Xenopus tropicalis: one gene and its partner. The protein of the gene in region 1 purifies or fractionates together with the protein of each later gene. This does not show direct contact. Links are inferred from orthologs where the notes say so. Each region holds a gene or a part of one and is shown in the gene's direction. Other genes may lie near its edges.

Region 1 (10,062 bases):
AGAAATTCCCCAGTTAATATATATACAGTGAATATAGTGATTAGAGAGTTTTATGATCATTACAGAATTTTAAAATTCCAGGAAATTCCACGGAAATCCAATGCCCTCTCTAATCTCTTCTCTGACTTCAGAGTACACATTTAGTAAGTCATTTCTGGTCTCTCAATGCCCCTCCTTGCTGCCTTTTTCTCAAGGAATATAGGTCAAGAAAAGAAAGATTTATGTTCACAGTCACATGTATACATGCAAATAAGTAATTCATGGATTTTTTTTTTGTACATAATGCTAATGGTTGCTTATCATTGACTTACTAAGGAGAGTGGCAGCAGTTACATGAATAATATTACACACTCTTTTTATTACTGTTATTGTTCCTATGCCATGTACTAAGTCGGTTTTATCTCATGTCTGACAGGCTGTGTCTACATGACATCCATAATATCTGTGATTGACATTAAAGTAATATACTGTGATACCATGGAGATATCCTAACATTGACACTTGTGATGTATCTATCAGGTGTAAAACACTAGCATTTGATATACCTATACCATTTTCTCCTTTGTTTTTTATGTAGTACTCAGAAGCTGGAAGCAGAAAAGAACAGAAGTATAGATGAATTTCTCAGGAAGCGGGAGCTTGAAGTAAAGAACATAGAGGACACCTTCGACCAGAAGCTTAAAAATGAGCTATTAAGGTCTAATATATTTTGTTGATTTACCATAGTCACTACAATTGTGTACCTGAAGCAAAAGACACAGCCATTAGGTGCTGCTGGAGAAATTTGCAAAATCTCGCTTAGTTTGTACTTCCCACTAACTCTGTTATCACACCATTCCTCCTTGTAAGTTGTGATTGTGTCCAACAGAAGGACAAAAAATGTAGTGTAATGACTACAAAAATTGTAATGCTTTTTCTGTCTATCTAGTGCTGCCTATCATGTTTAAAATGTGCCTTTCTTTTACTTTACTGTAGCAATATTTCTAACACCACATACCTGCAGTGCTTTAATAAGCAGTAAAGATGGCAAAAAAAAGTTTTTTTTTTCCCAGGGTTGTTATCTTTTGACTTGCTTTTATTGTGTTCATAAGAAGAGAACATATAGAACTTGACTTAACTTTTAGTTATCCCTTCTGGCCAGTCCTACACTGACTGACCTATATAGTCCCTTTGCTCAGTACTAATCTTAAATTACTTATATAGGTCAGTCAGTGTAGGACTGGCCAGAAGGGATGACTTTGACGTAGTTGGCCAGCTTGAAGTATATTGCAATGTACGGACAAACAATCCCTCTTTTTGGGGTGGGGAGGGAAGGCATTTCTTAGTAGCTGAATGCACAGAAATGTCCTAATGTCCTATTTCTACATATTGTTAATGGGTGAGTGCAGATGATTTTTTGCGGTTGTATACTGTATATGTATTTTGTGGTCACAGCCTCATTGCACCCCTGCCTAATGGTTTACAATTTAGTGGTTGAGCACAACTTTCCCTTTTTCTTGTGTTATTGTTTACTTTTAGTTTCAGATCTTGCCCTGTTTAGTACAAGAAATGATAATAATTATTGGAATTTCATTAAAATAGGACAAAAGTATATTTGTTAAACTACTAAAAAATTATGTATACTTCCTCCTTAATCACATGCTTATTTATTCATTGGTTTGTATTGTCCCTTGCATAGGCATCAAATTGAGTTAAATGAAGAATATATAAAAAGAACAAAGAAAGTAAGTGAAGATGAAAGAAGAAATAAAGGTTAGTAGAACCACAATCAGCATGTGTTTGCCCACCCAATCCCTTTCCTATAGTTACATCAGACTCTAGCACCAGCGCTGGCAAATTGCGCCATTTGTGTACCAATGATCACTGTTTTTGCTAGATTCCCCAACTTTTTATATATTAACTAGAACATATAGTTAACAAAATGGAAGGGTCCTCCAGTGGTGATGCAAGAGGTTTAAGTTTATAAAAGTGATTTTTCATAACCATCTAGGAAAAGGTTTCAAACTTAGTAGTTTATTTTAAAAGGTGTATAAAATGATTTAATCTTTAAAGAAATAAAAAAGTGATTGAAATTAAATGGGAATCACCTGGCAAACTTTAGAGAACCCATCCCCTACTCTTTGGCATATCTCTTATTTCTATTTCTACGTTCATTTAGGTTATGCAGAGAACTGTTAAAGATGTTCCATTTACAATTATAGGAACCTTTGGAGCTTTGTAATGTGCAAGCCTTTTTCCCTCAGCCTTGCATCATGTGACAGAACAAGTTCATATAGGAAGATGCTTATAGATAGACATTGATTAGTTCTGTGGATAATAGGTTTCCTATAAGCAGTCTCTAATTGGATTAAAAAGATTGGATTGGAATATTTTTTGAATTACATATATTTTAAAGTCATTATAGGCTTTGGTAACAATATAAAGTCACCAAATTACCCACAGGTTGGGCAAAACTACTTCATTAAAACAAACCATTCATGTGTTTAATACCTTATATGACTGCAAAAGTGCATGTACATTTTTTTAAGTTGTTATGTGAAGCTGTTGATGATCCAAAACTGGGAACATTTATAAGATGGGCACTGGACATTTTCTGTGTTTTTCTTTCTAGAGGAAGCATCAAAATTACGTGAAGAGGCTGTTGTAATTAATATGAAAAAGCATGAGTCAGAACAAGCAATGACTCGTATAAAGGAACTGGAGGTAAGAATTTTTACATTTATGTCAGTGATTAAGGGATAACATGTCTTCTGCACCAACACAACACAAAAACTAACTGGTGCAAAATGAAATAAGCATTCTAATTATAAAATCTCTCTCTCTAATTTCAGATAGAGGTAGATTCTCTGAGAGCACAAATGTCTCTTGTAACAAGACAGAATCACCACTTAACTGACAAGCTGAAAGAAACCGTAGATTATCCCTTGGTACATGAAGAAAAGCTTAAACTTCAAGGAGAAGTAAAGATACTTAAGCAACAACTGGATGAAATACACAAGGATAATCAGATCCTTAGAGAAAGTGAGTTAGTGTTGCTCTGAGTTGTAACAAAATGCTCTTACCCTGATTTGTAAAAAAAAAAAAAATATATGTATATCCTATTTCAGGAAATCTACATCCAAGTCCTGAGTATTTGGTTCTTCAAGAAGAATTGAAGAGAATGGAAAGTGCAAGAAAGATGGACCAAGAGGAATTTAAATCACAAAAAGAAATCTTGGAAACACAACTGCACAGTGAGGTAAGCTCTCTATCTCTATCATCATGTAGCACTGTATTATTAGTACAAATCCTTTTGGATCTTGCTGATTTACAGTGTCTCTTGCCATGCATACCTAAGGTCAAATATTACAATATCCAACCTATAACACCTATACATTAGGGTTCACTGATTCCAAGATTTTCACAAAGAAAAAAAAAGCCTTTGCTGCTAAAGTCTCCACTACCCTTGCAGCATAATTTCATAACTTACCAGTTTCCCTTGGAAATACTTTATTCAATCTTCTCTACTCATAATAGTATTTGACATAGCTCTACAGTGCTACTGTGGTTCATCACATGGTATCTGCTGCTCAATGCAAGGCCCCATGCAGTACATTGCAGCATAGCTACCATGCCAATGCAATAAGGTACTTAGCACAAGTTACATAGCCTCCAGTTTCATTCATTAGAATAGTTATAAATAAGTGTTCCCACCCACATTTATCACAATTTGCTGAACTTAATACAATTTTAATTTGTATTGACCCAGATCACTGCACTACATTTTTTACAGTGTCAAAACAGGACAACAAAATGTCTACTAATTGCATGTTCTTAACATTCTAATACTAAATACACATAACCATGCATTTGCCAATATTGGTATTTTGCATGACTTTGCTAAAAGTTAAATAATGTATACTGTGACCACATAGACACTGTGGCATTATGTTTACTCTGATCAGAAATCCATTTTAAGAGTCACTTAATACCTTGTGTCCTTAAAACTTTTTACCATATCGACTCAAGAACATAGCAATATTTTGAAATAAGTGAAAGTATGTTGGTAATGCATGTACTGAAGAATACTAGGACATTTTATTTACAATGCTTAGCTCTGTGCCCAGTTTCATATCACCCAGTTTTATTTTCAGCGTGCTTGAAGTTAATGTGGCCACAGTGTAACTGGACAGTTCTTGGCTTGTTTCTCACCATATTTGCCTTTACCTTATTTTTGAATTTCTGGCTTGGAGGCAAGTTTTGGTTGCAGAAAACCCAGTGTTATGCCATCAGAGCCTTCTGTAGACTGCCAATCCATAGAGGGGTTACCAAATAGCCAATCATGGCTCTACTTTGGCAACTTTGTGTTGCTTCCCAGCACTTTTTCCATTTGAATGTGGCTCATGGGTATAAAGGGTTGAGGACCTCTGATCTAGGGGTAATGTTAAGTAACTTCACAAAAAAATTAAGGGTCACAATCCACGCTTAATAAATGGGCCCCCCTTTAAGAGCACTTTTTAAAAATGCTAGAGTAATCCCCAATAAGCATCTCCAAGCCACATAAATTAACAAAAATACTGACACAGAACAACTATTCGTACAAAATAAATATGTTTTGCTTATTATATAAAAAAAAATTATTACTCTCAACATTACAAGTTTAATTTTAATTAAAGTAACTGGCAAAAATGTGGTACAGTTATGGGACCTGTTATCTAGAATGCTCATCACCTTGGGTTTTCTAGATAAGGGATCTTTCCGTTATTTGGATCTCCATAACTTAAGTCTGCTAAAAATGACTTAAATATTAAGAATATACCCAACAGGCTTGTTTTGCCTTCAATAAGAATTCATTATATCTTGTTATTATTACAGAGAAAAAGGAAATCATTTTTAAAAATTAGAATTATTTGGTTATAATACCCAAAAGAGCTTACAATCTACAAGGAGAAAGGGTTGAGACACAATGTGTGGGAAATGTATATTGTTATACATCTTAACCTATTCACCCTACCTGTAACAGAGTAGTTTCCAACATATTTGTAAAACTGTAACATCATCAATCATTTTGTGTGACAGTAGAACACAAATTCAATATATCTTAATGATTAATTCAAAGTAAATGGATTGATTGAGCCTATTAACAGATCTCAAAATATAAAGAAGAACTGAGCTAATGTGTTTTTTTTTGGTGTTTTGCCTCCAATAACGATTAATTTTATCTTATTTAGGATTAAGTACAAGGTACTGTTTTATTATTACAGAGAAAAGGGAAAACAGTTTAAAAATGTTAATTATTTGATTAAACGTTATACCTGTAAATAGTTACATAACATCCTGAAATGCTGATGTAATGTTGTATTTTGGCCCTGTTCCCTGTGTAGGTTAAGCGGAGTGCTGAATTGAAGGCCCAGCTTTTAAACAATGAAGATTCAGCACAAAAATTGAACTCAAAGGTTGAGCACCTCGAATTTCAGCTTCGACAAGCGCAGCTCGGTTTGTCAATTTCCTTTTTTATTATGTTTTAATTGCAATATATGCACATGAATTTGAAGCAGAAATATATATAGTCTGGAAACGCTTAGTTTTTATATCGTGTTTTTTTTAAACGCAGAATTTTCCTAGGCAAAAAATAAATGACATTGTGAGGAAGCTGGCAAGAACATTTAGCACTCAACTGGATTAAATTAATTTATTACTATGTTGTACAGCAATCATCTTTCAAACACAGCTTTATTACTCTCTTGAGAAAAACTGACTGCAAAAGGACTTCTCATATTCCGTTAGTGATGCAGACTAGGAAATGAAATTGAAGTCCCAGAACAGCTGAAGGAACAAAGCAAACCAAAAATCTATACTTTTATAGGAGCATTTTGAGTTGTATTTATAAGTGGCCTATAAAATGTGCATTTTGTAAATAACATACATATATTTCATTCAAAATGTATGTTTTATTATCCAGTTTAAATGTAGTTGCAATTTAAAAACCATATTTTTCTGTCCATTTCTGCACTGTTGTTTCAGTCTCTTGAAACAATATAACAGAAGTCAGACTTGAATACTTCTTCAAAGGTCTGTGAAAGAGCAACTTTGTTTCAAAAGTCAAATCCATGATGGTTGAGAATAAAATCAATTATCAGATACAAAGACATAAATAACTTTAAAACCAGTGAAAACTTGCAATGTAAAATTTATATTGCAAAGTAGCTAAGAATTACAATTTTCTTAAATTAGGCAAGTTTTTGGGTGGGGGACCACTTTAAAATGAGAGTGTGGGTTGGGTCTGGTAGCTGGGATGTATTTTGTTACAAAAAAAGCAAATGTAATCAGCTTCAGCTGTTCCCAATTTAATTTTATATACTTTCCTTTCTGTGTGATTCTTGCTTGCCCAGCTCTGGAAAATGAAGTGTATCGCAACCCAAAGCCATCCCTGGTTGATCGCTCTGTGCTGGACTTCACTGCAGACAAGATTGTGCCTCCTGATATTTATGTTGATAAAGCTGTTCTGAAAAGCCATCGTTCCTATGATACCTTTGTTGAAGCATGTGGCAGGTCAAGTCCAATGTATTGCCATACGACAAGGCCTCGCAGCAGCTCCCCAGATTCTGATTTTGAATTTGTAGCAAATACCAAGGCCCGAATCAAAGAACTTGAAAAGGAGGCAGAATATTTAGAGGAAGCCTACCGTAAATATCAGAACAGAATCAGTGAGGGCGCTACCATTGAAGGTATACATTTGACTACTGTTTCTAAAGAGAGCAGCCTTTTGAGTACTGTTCCAAAAACAAAAAGATCCGTTAAAATCTTGACAGATGTTTCTCATCAGAAAGTTGCCTTTTTAGAAGATAATCTCACACCAGATCATCAGAGCCTTCTAAACAGATTAAAGTTAAGACACAAAGAAGAAAATCCTTCTGAGACTACACCTGAGATTACACCTCCAAGAGCAAAAATCTCATCTGCAAGAAGGTTATCCTCAACTCCAATATCTAAACATGACCAGAACTCAAGTGAAAGGCAAAGCATTTTAGCAGAAGGTGAGACAGTCGCTTTACATATAACACAAAATGTAGTATTTATAATTTGACTATTCTCTGCTGTCCTTGGACTGAACTTTTTTACGTTTCATATTGTTATAGCAGACCATGAAGACTCTATTGTTTCATCATCTCAACAAAGCCCTAAGCAACGGCTGTCTCCTATACCAAAAAATGAGCATGTTTCATCAATCAATTGTGATGTTCCTGATATTCCAGTGGACGCAGAAAAAGATTACAGTTACAAGTAAGAAAACACATTACTTTTGTGCAGATCCTTTCAGTGTCATCTCTAGCATTTGTCATATATATCTTAACTTAATCTCATCATCTCCAATGTACTTTACCCATAACACAATGAAAATAAGCTTAAAAAGCGGGATAATAAAGACAACTAGCACCAGCTGAAAAAGAAAAAGCAAACCACCTTTAGCATAAAAATAAGCTTTGGTGTGCACGGTTAATTCATACAAAAGCATTAATATTTTTGAGAAATGGTTATTCACATACAATCATTTTGACATACTAGTTTTTATCACAAATGTTTTCAAATCGATTAGAATTAGAGGTCTGTCATTCCAAAGCAGGGATTTTACCATTTAAAAGCTTACAACTTTCCTGCTGCAGATATCTGGTAAATCTGGAATTGACCTGTTGCTGTTTACCGAACAAAAACTCGTGGTTGAATGTAACAGGGTAACAGGGATAGCACTTCTGGTGCCAGAACCGCTTTGTAACCTCATATATACTTTTTTTATTGTGGCTTTTGCTTTAGTTGTAGGAGTGCATTCTTATAAACAAAATACCATGTGCATAAGTGGTAAAAATATATTCAAACAAATAAAGTATTCGGTAACTCAAAACCAGTCCATAAAAATATAAATGTAGATAAATCTCCATGTTAAAGAGAAAATCTGGAAACACCATGGGGTCTGTATGTGTATTTTCTTTTAAACATGGAGCTTTAAATACATTTATATTTCTATTGACTGATTTTGAGTTATGGCATACATTTCTACATATATCCCCAATAATAAGTAAATGGCGTTTGTTAAAAATATATGCATAAAATACAAGACTATCATAGGTCTACTGAAAAATCTATCTAAAAATTGGATCTTGGTGTAATTATTGTTGAAGTCTCGAATTAGACTTAAGAACAACATATACTGTTTAAATAAGTTCTCTGCAAAGTCCTATCAAAATAATGCTCTCAAGGGCTCATGGTCTGTGTTACCTCTGAACTCCTTTCATTGTGCAAAAATCTTTTGTGCACCCTTTAAAAAACTTTTCTTAGAAGACAGTGAGTATAAATAAGTACTAAATTATGTGTAGTCACACAAAATACTCTGTGTGCACCACAGTTGGTTTTATGTGCTAGCCTCATATTTTGAGTGTGTACAAGAGCACATGGGCAAGTGTATGTTGTAAAGTTTGTCTCTAGTTTATAGGGCCATATTAAGACTATATGGACACACATTCATTTTCACATAACAGATAATAAATGTCACGTCTAATTTAGTCCACCTCATTGTCCCTCTTCCTGGTCTTCATGATTACAGTATATTGTAACTATAAAAAATATTGCCTGTGCTTTTTTTTTAAACTTTAGACTTTTAGTCAGATTTATTATCCTTTCAACAAATAAACAGCTTGCCAGGTTTTATTTTTCAAAAGAACATACTCATTGAAAAAAGTGCAAGAAACCACAAGCAAGATCTCCTGCAGTTTCTTATGATGATAACTATAAACCTGAGGATTGAAGGATCATAAATCTGCTCCATAGGGGTATATTTATCATGCTGTGTAAAAAGTGGAGTGAAGCATTACCAGTGACGTTGCCCAGGGTAACCAATCAGAAATTAGATTTCAACAGTTAAAAAACCAAAGCAAAGCAGCTTATTGGCTGCTATGAGCAACATCACCGGTGATGTTTTACTCCACTTTTTACACAGAATGATAAATATACCCCTTAATGTACAGTGTTTGTTGCACAAAGCAAACAAGGTAAAGAGCAAGGAAAGAGCAGATAAAACAACTCACTGCTTGGGAAATAACAAGCATTAAGTAACTTTATATCAACATCTCCTATGCCAGTTCCCTTTTGCAAAAGGTTTGCTGTTAATTTCAAAAAAGGTCCATTCAGTAGTCATTTTTAGAATGCAGTGCAATACACAAAGCAGTATGAGTGAGGCTGCGGAATTGTTAATAATTGAGTTACCATGGAGCAAAAGTGATTGTTAATAATGAATAATGAGCCGTTACCAAGGATACATTTATACTTTGCAACAGACTTTTAATGCAAAATAGGTAGAAGGTAAGGTAAAGTCCTAACTGGGTACCTCTGTTTAATACAATGTACTCTAATGCTAAAATGTTTAATTTCTCCAGGCAAGATGTCAGTTGTCATGAAGTATCCAACCATGCAGAGCCACAAAAGCTATATTTTGATGACCTTAATAGCACTAATTCTTCTTTAAAAGGTAAGAGGATTTCGGCTAAATTGATATAACTAAAGAACTTCACATAAAGCAATTGTGGTTTGCTGAATAACTCATTTGAGACCTGGGAGATACTGCACTTGGAAACTCGGATTGTGTAAAAATAAACCTCCATTGCAATAGAATCAATTTTTTCCTGTTTAAAACACATTACATGTAAGCACAATCATGAGACCATTTTTCACTAGAATGTTATTCTCTTGTTTATTACTTATTGCATCAACTTTCTCTTTCGCTGCAACATTTCCATAGACCGCTACAGATCTATTAGTTCATATAAAAAGCCACAGTAATTGCAGATGAATATTTTGAAATAAAACTAGCACATAGAGAAAGAGCCTATAATTATGTATTTTTAAAATGCCTTATTGTCTCCTATTAGCTGTTTACTGTTCTAAGTTTCTGGAAAAGAATGTAGGGTCTGGACGGAATTGGTGCCTCTTTATAGACTGTCGTCTTCCAGAGATTTGTGGCTTTGCCTCAGCTTTTCACATCAAGCCAGTAATTAACTGTTAGAGACAGTCACGTAACGCATAAGAAATGTC
Region 2 (10,812 bases), on another chromosome or scaffold:
AATGCACCCCCTGTTGTAAAATATGAGGATATTAGAAATAACCTCAGAGTTCCATGTCCTGTATAAAAGTATAAAAGCATTTTATAAGTTCATGGAACTCCTCTGTGATTTATGGTATCCTTATATTTTACAATAGTGGGTACATTGTTCACTGTATAATATGCTATGTTTCTGAAAAATGTCTACTACCAAAGTGTAGTATAGGGAACGCTAAAATGATGCCATGCAAGGGTATGGCCAGATTTTTATTGTTCTTTACCCCAAGTTAAATAGGGCTGCAACCTTTGTCGGCAACCAAAGCACTGGTTACCAGCCAAAGGGCTGGTGATGTTTAGAGACAGAGCTGTGATGTTGAGGTTGGGGCTATAACATCACATATCACACAGTTTGTTTCTGTTTGTCAGGTGTAACCAAACTGGGCAGGAGGTTTTGAACTAGACAGCCCCTTCAAAAACCATGCAAAAACCGGACAGGTGCTTAAAGTCAAATAATTCTCCATCCACCAGGATCACAGAATTATCTGTTTAAAGAGCCTGGCAAATTGCCATACATGCCCAGAGGATCAGCCAGTACTACCAACATTGGCTAAATTGACTAACAACAAGTGAGAACTGGGAATATTATGGTTAGCTTTATGGCAATTTGTGCTTGATGTGTGTTTTATGGCACTACCAACACTATTACACTATTGCACTATAGCCTGCATTAATAATGTCATATCTAGTCTAACAGAGTTAAAACCAAGAAACATATTCTCACTTTTTATAAAAAATGTCTACAGTGGGGTATGTGGAAAAAAAATGGTTATCTTTTTGTGGTGTAAACAAACATTTTACTTAAACTGAATGCCAATTTTGTCTTAACACCACATTTGCTGATTCCACCCCCCTATGTATCAGCCACATTAAATCTCTGCCTCTGTGAGTTCATAGTTTAATTTAGGGGAAAAGGCACCTAGGATTAAGATACTGAAAAAACTCGAGAAAACACAATTCTAAGGGGCACATTTATCAAAGTAAGATTGAGTCCGAATACAAAAAATTTGTATTGGTTCGTACTGTGCGTATTTTCTGCGATTTTTTCGTACTTTGCGCAACTTTTCAATACTTTGCGACAAAATTTGTGCCACATAAACGTATTGACGCGCCGAGTACAAACGTTTCAGATTCATTCAAGCTTCGGTATCGTGACTTTTCTTGGGCCAGGTTGGAGCTGCAGAGTGCTATTGAGTCCTATGGGAGGCTTCCAAAATCATGTACAGAAGGATCAAAGTCGGAAAGGTTTTTCCGCTGTTTATGATTGTTCGATCCGAAAATTTTGTGACTTTCGGATCGCCAATACGATATTATCGTGACTATTCCGATTTTTTCGTAAGCATTTTCGTGATATTTGCGATCATCAGAAATTGTCATATCTAACCCAAATTTTTCCCATTTCAGGATTCAAACTCGTACTTTGATGAATGTGCCTCTATTAGTTTCTGTGTGTGGTAGTTCTTTTGCCTGTTTATGCCATCTGCACTTCAGCACAATTTGAAATAACTGTGATATTATCTTAAAGGACAAACAACCCCCGAATGCCAATCAGGTCCTAAAAGACTTAAAATAGGACCTGGCATTTTAGATACACGGAGGTCCAAACAGCCCCCACAGGCCCAATAAATAGCAACTGTCTATGCCTCTTTGGCATCTTACCAGAATATACAAAACAGGAAAGTAGCCAGGAACAGTACAGAACTAGTGCCAATGTGTTATTAGCCCCCCCCCCCTCTAGTTAATCCAGTCACTTCGTTTTTTCCCTGGGCTGCATTTGGGCTCCATTTAGGAAGAAAATCCTATCTTACTAACTTAATCTCTAATGCTGACATAGACGTATGCATTAGAGTAAAATCTACATACACAGTTATATAGTTTTCTTAGAACTATGAGGATCATACACTTTTTTTTTAACAAATTTGTCTTATATATATTCCTGATTTTTGTACCAATAAGATCCAAAAAGTCCTTACAGAACCTAATAAATCCTATGTATAACTACATAAATTACTGGGCCCTACTGGAAAACCTGTATAAAGCTCCCAAACCATAAGTAATGTGCTCTAAATGTATATAACAACGTTGTATACTAGTCAATACCTCCACCTGGCACTTTTACTACTATACATGGTATAGTAATAATTCTTTGGTGCTGGGCGTACACCTAGGGGCAGAATAAAAATGGCAAAATATACTATGCTGATAAAAATACAGCACAGTTTTAAAAACTGCAGAGCAGCCTTGGGCAAAAGATTAGCAATTTTTTTTACTCTGGGGTTCCTAACAAATTGGTATCTCCAGTGTTTTTATCTTTCATTTTTTCAAAAATAATATCTCTACTATCTAATACTATCAAATAGTATGCTGTTTTTGTCACAGATTACTGTTTTAATCTGTCTTTCTTTGTTTTATTGGTCAGTGTCTCCTACATATAAGGATAATTACACACAAAAAGGAAAAGGATAGAGATTAAGCAGGTGCTTAAAATGAAGAGATTGATTAATCTGTGCATTTTAGCTGCCAGATTTCATAAATATTTGTTTTTCAGTCTTGCTTTATTTTTGTTTCTTAATCTAACTTCCTTGTGTCATCAGCTTCTGGGAAATATAGTTCAGGTACATCTGGTTTCTGAGTAACAGGTCTGGCTTGGGAAATTAGATACACAGAAAAGTACATCTCCACCTACCAGTCAGTTCATGTATTCTCTGTGGCAATACTTTCTTGTCATATGGAACCATTCCTTATAATATCAGAAAATGCTCAAAGACCATAGCATTTAGAGCTTTGAAAAGAGAAGGGAGAGGTGATATAGTAGAAATATATAGTACAGGTATAGGTTCTATTATCTATAATGGGGGCTCTACCTGAGGCAAGTTGAGATTTTTGCCTCAGGCAGCAGACCCGATAGTCCAGTTTTAATATCAGAATTTTAGCTCTTCTAGTGAAGGGAGCGCAATCACACTCTCTGCAACAGCGATGCAGCCCCTCCTCTGACACTAAAAATTTAAGTGCAGGGAGGATGAGGGGGGCTGCATTGGAAAGCATGCTTTGGGTGGCAGAGGGGCTAGGATCACCACTAATCCTGAATGCTTGAGAAATGGGGGTTTCCAGATACGGGGTCTATTTGTAAATTGGACCATTTAAACATTAAATAAACTCAGGATTGTTTTGCCATCAATATAGATTCATGCAGCTTAGTTACCATCAAGTACAAGGTAAGGTACTCTTACACAGAAAAAGGAAATAATTAAAAAAAAAGAATTATTTGCTAAAAATTGACTTTAGTGTAGTTAAATTGTAATTTAGAGCTTTCTGGATAACAGGTTTCCGGATAAGGGATCCCATTACTGGGATAAGGAAATTAACAGAGCTCAAGTCTACACCTGAGTTCTGTTAATTTCCTTATCCCAGGTATGGGATCCATTTTACGGAAACCTGTAGTATTTTTGGCAGTGCAACATGGCTAGAACTAGGACACGAGCTGCCAACCAACTCCAAGCCATGAGTGAAATTATGATCCAGTCCTTGTTTTTTTAGACTTGACTTCCTCAACACTAAAAGATATTATGAAATAAGCTCTCAAAAAGGCCTGGAGTGGATCATTATCTTCCTGGCATGGGGTTGGAGCTGGAGTTGGTAGAGAAAACAGATTGTCAACAGATAACAACACTGGTCTGGTTCAGCAATTTCACCCACACCCAGCGTGACAAGTCCATACTTTATTTGTGTATTATCCCTTTAAGGCACATTCCGTTTCCGGGTTACACAGCCAGTACGCTTCAGGCGCTGGACAGCACTAGCGAGTCACAGTGAAGCTCCGTTCCCACAACAAAGCGAGTGTAACCCTGACCGAAGCCTGGGGAGCTGCGCATGCGTGCGAGGGGCAGGAGAGGCGGAGTTTTACACAGCCGTTGAGAACGATGGCTTCTGTAGGAGATCTTAAAGCGGGTGAGTTTGTGGTTCATAGCTCAGTTTGATTCTCTGTGTATTACTGTGCACTAGTCCTGCAGAACGGTGCTTGTATATATCAGTAATGGACTGACTACATTCTGACTATACTGACTATATCTTCTTACTGTAGCCAGGATTCTGGGAGTTGTAGTTCATCAGTATCGTCTAACTCTAAACCATTATGCCCAAGTAAAAGAGCGATAATATATATCATTTGTATGGAAGGCTTGTGATCATGGGAAATCTTGGTAAAGAAGTAGAGGGCTAATTCAGTGGCACTAGGGCAGTGGGATTCTCCCTAATAACCTGATATTGAAGAATATCTATTAACTTTACTCATTAACTTTAGATTCACAGTGCCATTGTTTCTTTCTGCAGTTGTGAAGGATACTCTGGAGAAGAGAGGAGTTATGGGGCAGCTAAAGGCCAGAGTTCGAGCAGAGGTGTTTGAAGCATTGGATGATCGCAGTGAACCCAAACCAGTTCTGTCCCCTGAAAATCTACTCATCAATGAACTGATTAGAGAATATCTGGCATTCAACAAGTATAGATACACAGCATCAGTCCTAACTGCCGGTAATGTGATCCAGGGGTGCCCAGCAATGCTAGCTGGCTGATTGTCACACTGACAGGTGTGCTGTATTTCAGTGCCTTACTGACTGTGCTGTTAGAAACGCTATTACCCACAGGAGCTTATTTATAAGCACTGGACAAGTTTTCCCCTGGGCAGTAATCCATAGCAACCAACTAGTGGTTAGATTTTTCCAGTCAGCTGCAGGTTGAACAATAAAAGCAAGAATCTGTTGCCATGAGTTTCAGCCCAGGTGCAGCTTTATCCAGTGTTTTTAAATGACTCCCACATGTCCTTAGAGAAGATATGTCCAAATTATTGCAGATGAGCTGTAGTTTCTACATCCTTGTCATCTGTTGTGCTGAGCCTTCCTTACAACATAGACCGCTATACCTCTGTATTAATCATTTGGCTGCAGTCAAATACTTGCTCCAGCCAAGCCTTTTATAGGACAAGGTTTGTGATGATTAAGCTGAGCGCTAGACAAAATAGTACCTATCGGAGTATCCCTTCGTAATAAGTGTAAATATATCTGGGCGTTGTTTTTTATCAGCTTATATCTAGAATTTCTTTTTTTTTTTTTTTTTTTTTTTTTAAATCTGTTGAAAAAGTTGTACAGGCATAGGATGCTTTATCCAGAAAGCTCTGAATTACAGGAAGGCCAAACAATTAAATAAGCCCTAGGACCAAACAATTGAATTAGCCTGATATCACCCACCTTAGGTGGGCATATCGGGGGAAGTTCTGCTCGTTTAGCTACCTCACAATGTGTATGGCACCTTACTAGAGATCTGGGCTGACAAATGTTCTTTTTTGATGAGCATGTTAGGTTATTAGCCATTCTTGTAACATATAGGCCACACACTGCACTTTGATTAAGGGATATGGTTAATCATTGCATGGGCCAGTGAGTCACATGCATATCATTTGGCCATCCTCCCTCATGGCTAACTTGCACTAAAATCCATTTGATCATCCCTTTAACCCTTATTCTCTGGCATCCTTGTTTATCTGTTCTGTTCTTTTTTCCTGTCTTGCACTTTTGGTTCCCCATTCTCTTTCTCTTTTGTTGTCACATTCTCTAAAGAGCTTACTGCTAAATTCTTTATTTTCTTTTACAGAAACTGGCCTTTCAGACATTCCACTTGATCGTTCATTCCTCACTAAAGAGCTTAATGTTGTTGACGATATGAACTCCCAGTCAGTGTAAGGCTTTGAAACAAGAATTTTGGTGCTAAATTTATTTAGCAATATTAAGTTGCTGTGCAAATGACATAAGAGCAACCTCATATTATTTCTTACAGTCTTGATAATTTCTGATGTGGAATTTCACCCTTAAATTTGTTACAACAGACCAATTCTCTATGGGATCCTTTCTCACTTTTTAAAAGAACATGAAGAGGGACCGTGCCAGAGAGTAGAGAATGTGTCAGCAGAAAAGCAAACATTTAGAAACATTCTGCGAGGCAGAAATACAAAAGGTAAAATGACTATATTTGGATTTTTGTCTTGAGTTTCTGCCATAAACTTTTGATACTGGTAGACTACTGTTTAGACCAGGGTTGGCCAATACGTCGATCACGGTCCACTAGTCGATCCCCCGTGGATCACTGGTGGACTGCGATGAAGCCGGGGATGCGGAAGTGCTGTGTGAATGCGTACGTATGCTGCGTCAAGTACATACGCATTCACGCCGCACTTCCGCATTCCCTGATCATAAGTCGACCACAGGATGGGAAAGTATAGCAACCCCTGGTTTAGACAGTTACTTAAAAAATAACCATTTTAGTTGGGTAGAGAACCTCAGGAATATGATGATTTCTCTTTAAAACAGCCCTGTTTTGGGGGCATTGAGAGCAACAGCCAAGGGGTTGGTGAGCAACATGTTGCCCGGAGCCACTGGTTGGGGATAACTGCATTACCACATAGCAACTGTGCAATGGGTGCATATAGCCAGTAGAGGGAGCCCTTATTTTGAGAATTCAGTTTGGTACTCCAGTCTAAAAATCCCAGTTTCACTGGCTATTAACATTTATTTGTGCACAGTTTTCAATAGCCCAGATACATGCTACAATGCAGACTGTGCTTCAAAGACCCAGACATCCCAAATAACTATCTATGAGGTTGTATAATGTATAATTTTATCTTGGTATAGCTGCAAGTACTGTTTTATTGTTTATATAAAGTCTACTTTCACACTTATAGCTACTCTATATAGCATGTCAAGCCTTTTCTGTTTTCTTACCTTTGTTTGGAGAACTGACAATTGTCAGGTACAGGTACAGATATCTAGGTATCCCACCACCATGGAAAATATTGTAGGTATAGATACAGCTGCAAGCAGTGGATGTCTGTTTTATAGTACACGTAAATACTTTTGTGGTTATTACTGACCGATTATTTATTTGGTTCCTATGTCAATGGCAGCTTCCTGTTTGCACCAGATTAAAGGACAATGAAAGCTTAATATAAATTAAAAGTAAGTCTAAAGGCATTCTTTTTAAGTACTTACTGCATATCTAAATTCCCAGATCCCTGCTTGCTTCTCTGAGATATGGTGCTGGCAGCCTACAGCAGTGTGAAGACTACAGTGACATCACTGAAATCTCTCTCCCCTTCCTGTAGGCTGCCAGCGGCAGCCTTCCTATTCTCTGAGCATGTGTGTAACTTGATCCTGTCTCCTGTTCTGAGCTACACATGCCCACCAGCCAATCAGAAGCAGATCTGGCAGAGGGGAGGGGGGGGAGGGAATGAAACACATGTGCAGTATGAAGCAAGGAGGGAAAGGAAGGGAGAATACCTTTTTAGAGATGGCTGCCTGTTCTAGAAAATGTGAAGTAAGACTGAGTAAATATCTGATTAGGTGAGCCAAAAGTGTGGCGTTTTTACTAAACAATAGGAGGACTATTCGGCAGTATGCTTTTTAAATGTTGACTTGCATTCTCCTTTAAAGTGTTGTATAAAGCTATAAATACATATTACCTTAATTCTATATATATACTTTTGCATAATGGCTCTCCCTTCTTAGGGCTTTAGCATATGCATTGATTTCAGCAACAAAACATAGCTGTGGTCACTTCCGTAGAAAAGGTATATGAATTGGTTATGGTAGACACATTATGTATTATGTATGAATTTAATATAGGTTTAACCCTGGCAAATGTTTTCTTCAGATGCAAAAACAAGTTGAGCAGATGCTTTCAATATATCAAGTGTAGGGCTGTATAGATTTCGGCACACTCCCACGCAAGGAAAAATGTCACTTGCTGGAATGAGGATAGTTTCTTTTATATTCAAAGGTAATCTTATTAAATAAGCAACTGGGTAAAATTAATTATTTTTAACTATCTCTTTAATAAAATTACTGCTATTATTCCAATTAAAGCTAAATTGTATCATTATTCCATTAAAGGGCATTAGCAAAGGAGATTTATAGCAGTGCACTGTAATGGAAACATTTTGAATAATCATTATCTTCCTACATTAACTACCATATTCCACTTTTCCAGATCATCCAGGCCCGTGCAGTTAACACAAACAAGCACTGAAGATCGGCATCAGCGAAGGCGCAGATAATTGCTTGTGAAGTATTCCAGAGGGATGACAGTTCGTTTACTCTATAAAGTTTTCTGCATTACAGACATCGTGGGCTTATCTCTCCTAAACAAATGTTTTTAGACACTTTAGGGAGAGAGTTTTTTTTAGACAAAGCTGCTATATTTATTATATTGTAACCATATTGGACAAGTTTATTTTGTAACAATGCAAATAAAAATGCACAGTGTACATTATTTATATTCCTGATATATTTATATGTTCATCCACATGTAGTCAACTATTGAAACAGACTGTTGCTAGCTTTTATTATGGTGTCCTCTTTAATATGACAGACTGCTCTACATTTTTCTGGGGCACATACCAAGCTTTCCTATCCTCAGAATATTATAATTTAAGCTAAAGATGACAGGATGACTCTGGGATGTTGTAAGGACAATTAAGAGCCCAAGCAAAGAAAGAGTATCTTTGTAGTGAGGTAACCAAGCAGATTTAGGCTTATGTAACAAAGGGAGGCTTATTACAGGCTAGAAATATGTTCCTTGTTCATTGATATGGGGCTACAGTATCTGCAACTTGTGCTTACTAATCTGTTTTGTTTTAATTCATTTATATACTCCAGCACCTCACATTAACATTTGTGGGACTGTGATGGCAGCACTGGTTATGCTAATGTGGGTCAGATTCAATTACTGCTTAGGGGTTGTTCACCTTTAAATTATCTTTAAGTATGATGTTGGCAATGATATTCTGGGACAATTTGCAACTGGTTTTCAATTTTTACTATTTGTGGTCAGTGATCCCCGTTTGAAGGCTGGAAAGATGTGGAAGAGTAAGGCAAATAATTCCATAACTATAAAAAAGAAATGATAAAAAACAAGTTGCTAAGAATAGAACATTCAATAGAGTCCAAAGAGAATGCAAATGGTGAAAAATGTTCAATTTCCGTGTTAATGTGACGAAAAGCGACGTGATTTTAAGAATTCAGTTCAGCCAGGCACGTGGATTCGGCCAAATCCTAATCCTGCTGAAAAAGGCCAGATCCCAAACCAAATCCTGGATTCGATGCATCCCAGTTTTTCCTTTGCCTTTATTGCTGATGTCAGGATGCAACAACTTAGGGCATTTTGTGGCTAGTGATTATATTACATAACTGCTTACCCCACCATCCATAGTTACTTAGGGATTAAAAAAAGACCAGAGTCCATGAAGTTCAACCCTTCCAAGTGAACCCAGCACACGCAAACCCATACTGACCTATTTATACACTCACATACATAAACTATATATACCAACATTAATACTAACTGTAGATTTTAGTATCACAATAGCCTTGGATACTACGGTATGCTTGTTCAAGAATTCATCCAAGCCCCTCTTAAAGATGTGCTTCAGATCCACACCAGTTAAGCCATATGTATACAAGAAAGTTATATTAGTGTGTAATAACAATACATGTATGGGACCTGTTATCCAGAATGCTGGGATCTAAGGTCTGGATAGGGGGCTTTCCATAATTTAAACCCCAGCAGGACTGTATTGCTTCAAATAAGGATTTATAAGAGCTTAGTTGGGATCAAAGTACAGGTATGGGATCCCTTATCCAGAAACCCGTTATCCAGAAAGTTCCAAATTATGGAAAGACCATCTCCCATAGAATCCATTATAAACAAATAACTGATTTTTTAAAGCGATTTCCTTTTTTCCTGTAATAATAAAACAGTACCATGTACTTGATCCCAACTAAGATATAATTAATCTTTATTGGAGGCAAAACAAGCTTATTGGGTTTATTCAATAGTTACATGATTTTTAGCAAACTTAAGTTATGGAGATCCAAATTATGGAAAGATCCCTTATACAGAAAACCCCAGGTCCCATACCTATACAAGGTACTGTTTCATTATTAGAACAAAAGAAAATAGTTATAAAAATGTGAATTCCTTGTTGTTGGATAGAGGATCCCGTACTTATATAACAGTATACAATTATTTAGATTGATATAGCATTTTACATAAATCCATTTACCTGCTGTATGCTGCTAAGCAGGTTTACCCAAACTGGGGCTCTGTTGCTGATGTGCACATCTTCCAGCATCATCTTAATATTAGCGATGAGTTAATCTGACCCATTCCTCTGAAAAAAACATGAAATAGCAAAAAGTCGATGGGTGGTTATTCACGCAACATTTTTTCACTCGCAGCTATTTTTTTTACCCATTGGAGTCTATGGGTGTTTTTTTGTGGTGAAACATGGTGATAATCTTACTCATAACTACTTAATAGCATTTAATGTAAACCTGTTACCTAAAAAATTACAAAGGATAACAGGATCGCCTTCCCTTCTTCAACACAATTACCACATTATCACATTATCGTGCTGGCTGATACATTATATAGCTTTAAGAAGGGGCTGGATGGCTTCTTAGCAAGTGAGGGAATACAGGGTTATGGCAGATAGCTCTTAGTACACGTTGATCCAGGATCTGGATTAATTATATCTTATTTGCTTATAATGGAGTCTATAAGAGATGGCCTTCTCATAATTTGGAACTTTCTAGATTACAGATTTCTAGATAAGGGATCCCATATCTGTATTTGTGCCCAGAGTTTTTGTAAGGTACTTACAAACTGTGGCCCATCCAACTGGCTCATTAATGATTCTGAAAAGGTACCTTACTGTCAATCAAATTGACCACAA

The links. Proteins that work in one complex are often made in the same cells at the same time.
Region 2: the proteins of ofd1 (region 1) and fopnl purify together in Homo sapiens (co-immunoprecipitation; 3 studies listed by BioGRID and IntAct, with this or other methods). This does not show direct contact. The link is inferred for Xenopus tropicalis from reciprocal best matches to the Homo sapiens genes OFD1 and CEP20.

What each region holds. Positions count from the first base shown.
Region 1 is NC_030678.2:105,737,854-105,747,915, reverse strand, and holds part of ofd1 (oral-facial-digital syndrome 1 protein), read left to right. Parts: intron 1-577; coding exon 578-697; intron 698-1,678; coding exon 1,679-1,752; intron 1,753-2,611; coding exon 2,612-2,703; intron 2,704-2,831; coding exon 2,832-3,021; intron 3,022-3,107; coding exon 3,108-3,238; intron 3,239-5,363; coding exon 5,364-5,475; intron 5,476-6,371; coding exon 6,372-7,016; intron 7,017-7,118; coding exon 7,119-7,263; intron 7,264-9,407; coding exon 9,408-9,499; intron 9,500-10,062. UniProt on the Homo sapiens protein: Component of the centrioles controlling mother and daughter centrioles length. Recruits to the centriole IFT88 and centriole distal appendage-specific proteins including CEP164. Involved in the biogenesis of the cilium, a centriole-associated function.
Region 2 is NC_030685.2:33,923,951-33,934,762, forward strand, and holds fopnl (lisH domain-containing protein FOPNL), read left to right. Parts: upstream 1-3,779; 5' UTR 3,780-3,955; coding exon 3,956-3,983; intron 3,984-4,029; exon of another isoform or gene 4,030-4,221; coding exon of another isoform or gene 4,222-4,234; intron 4,235-4,364; coding exon 4,365-4,562; intron 4,563-5,678; coding exon 5,679-5,763; intron 5,764-5,910; coding exon 5,911-6,038; intron 6,039-6,984; coding exon 6,985-7,016; 3' UTR 7,017-7,036; intron 7,037-8,066; coding exon of another isoform or gene 8,067-8,089; 3' UTR 8,090-8,354; downstream 8,355-10,812. UniProt on the Homo sapiens protein: Involved in the biogenesis of cilia. Required for the recruitment of PLK1 to centrosomes and S phase progression.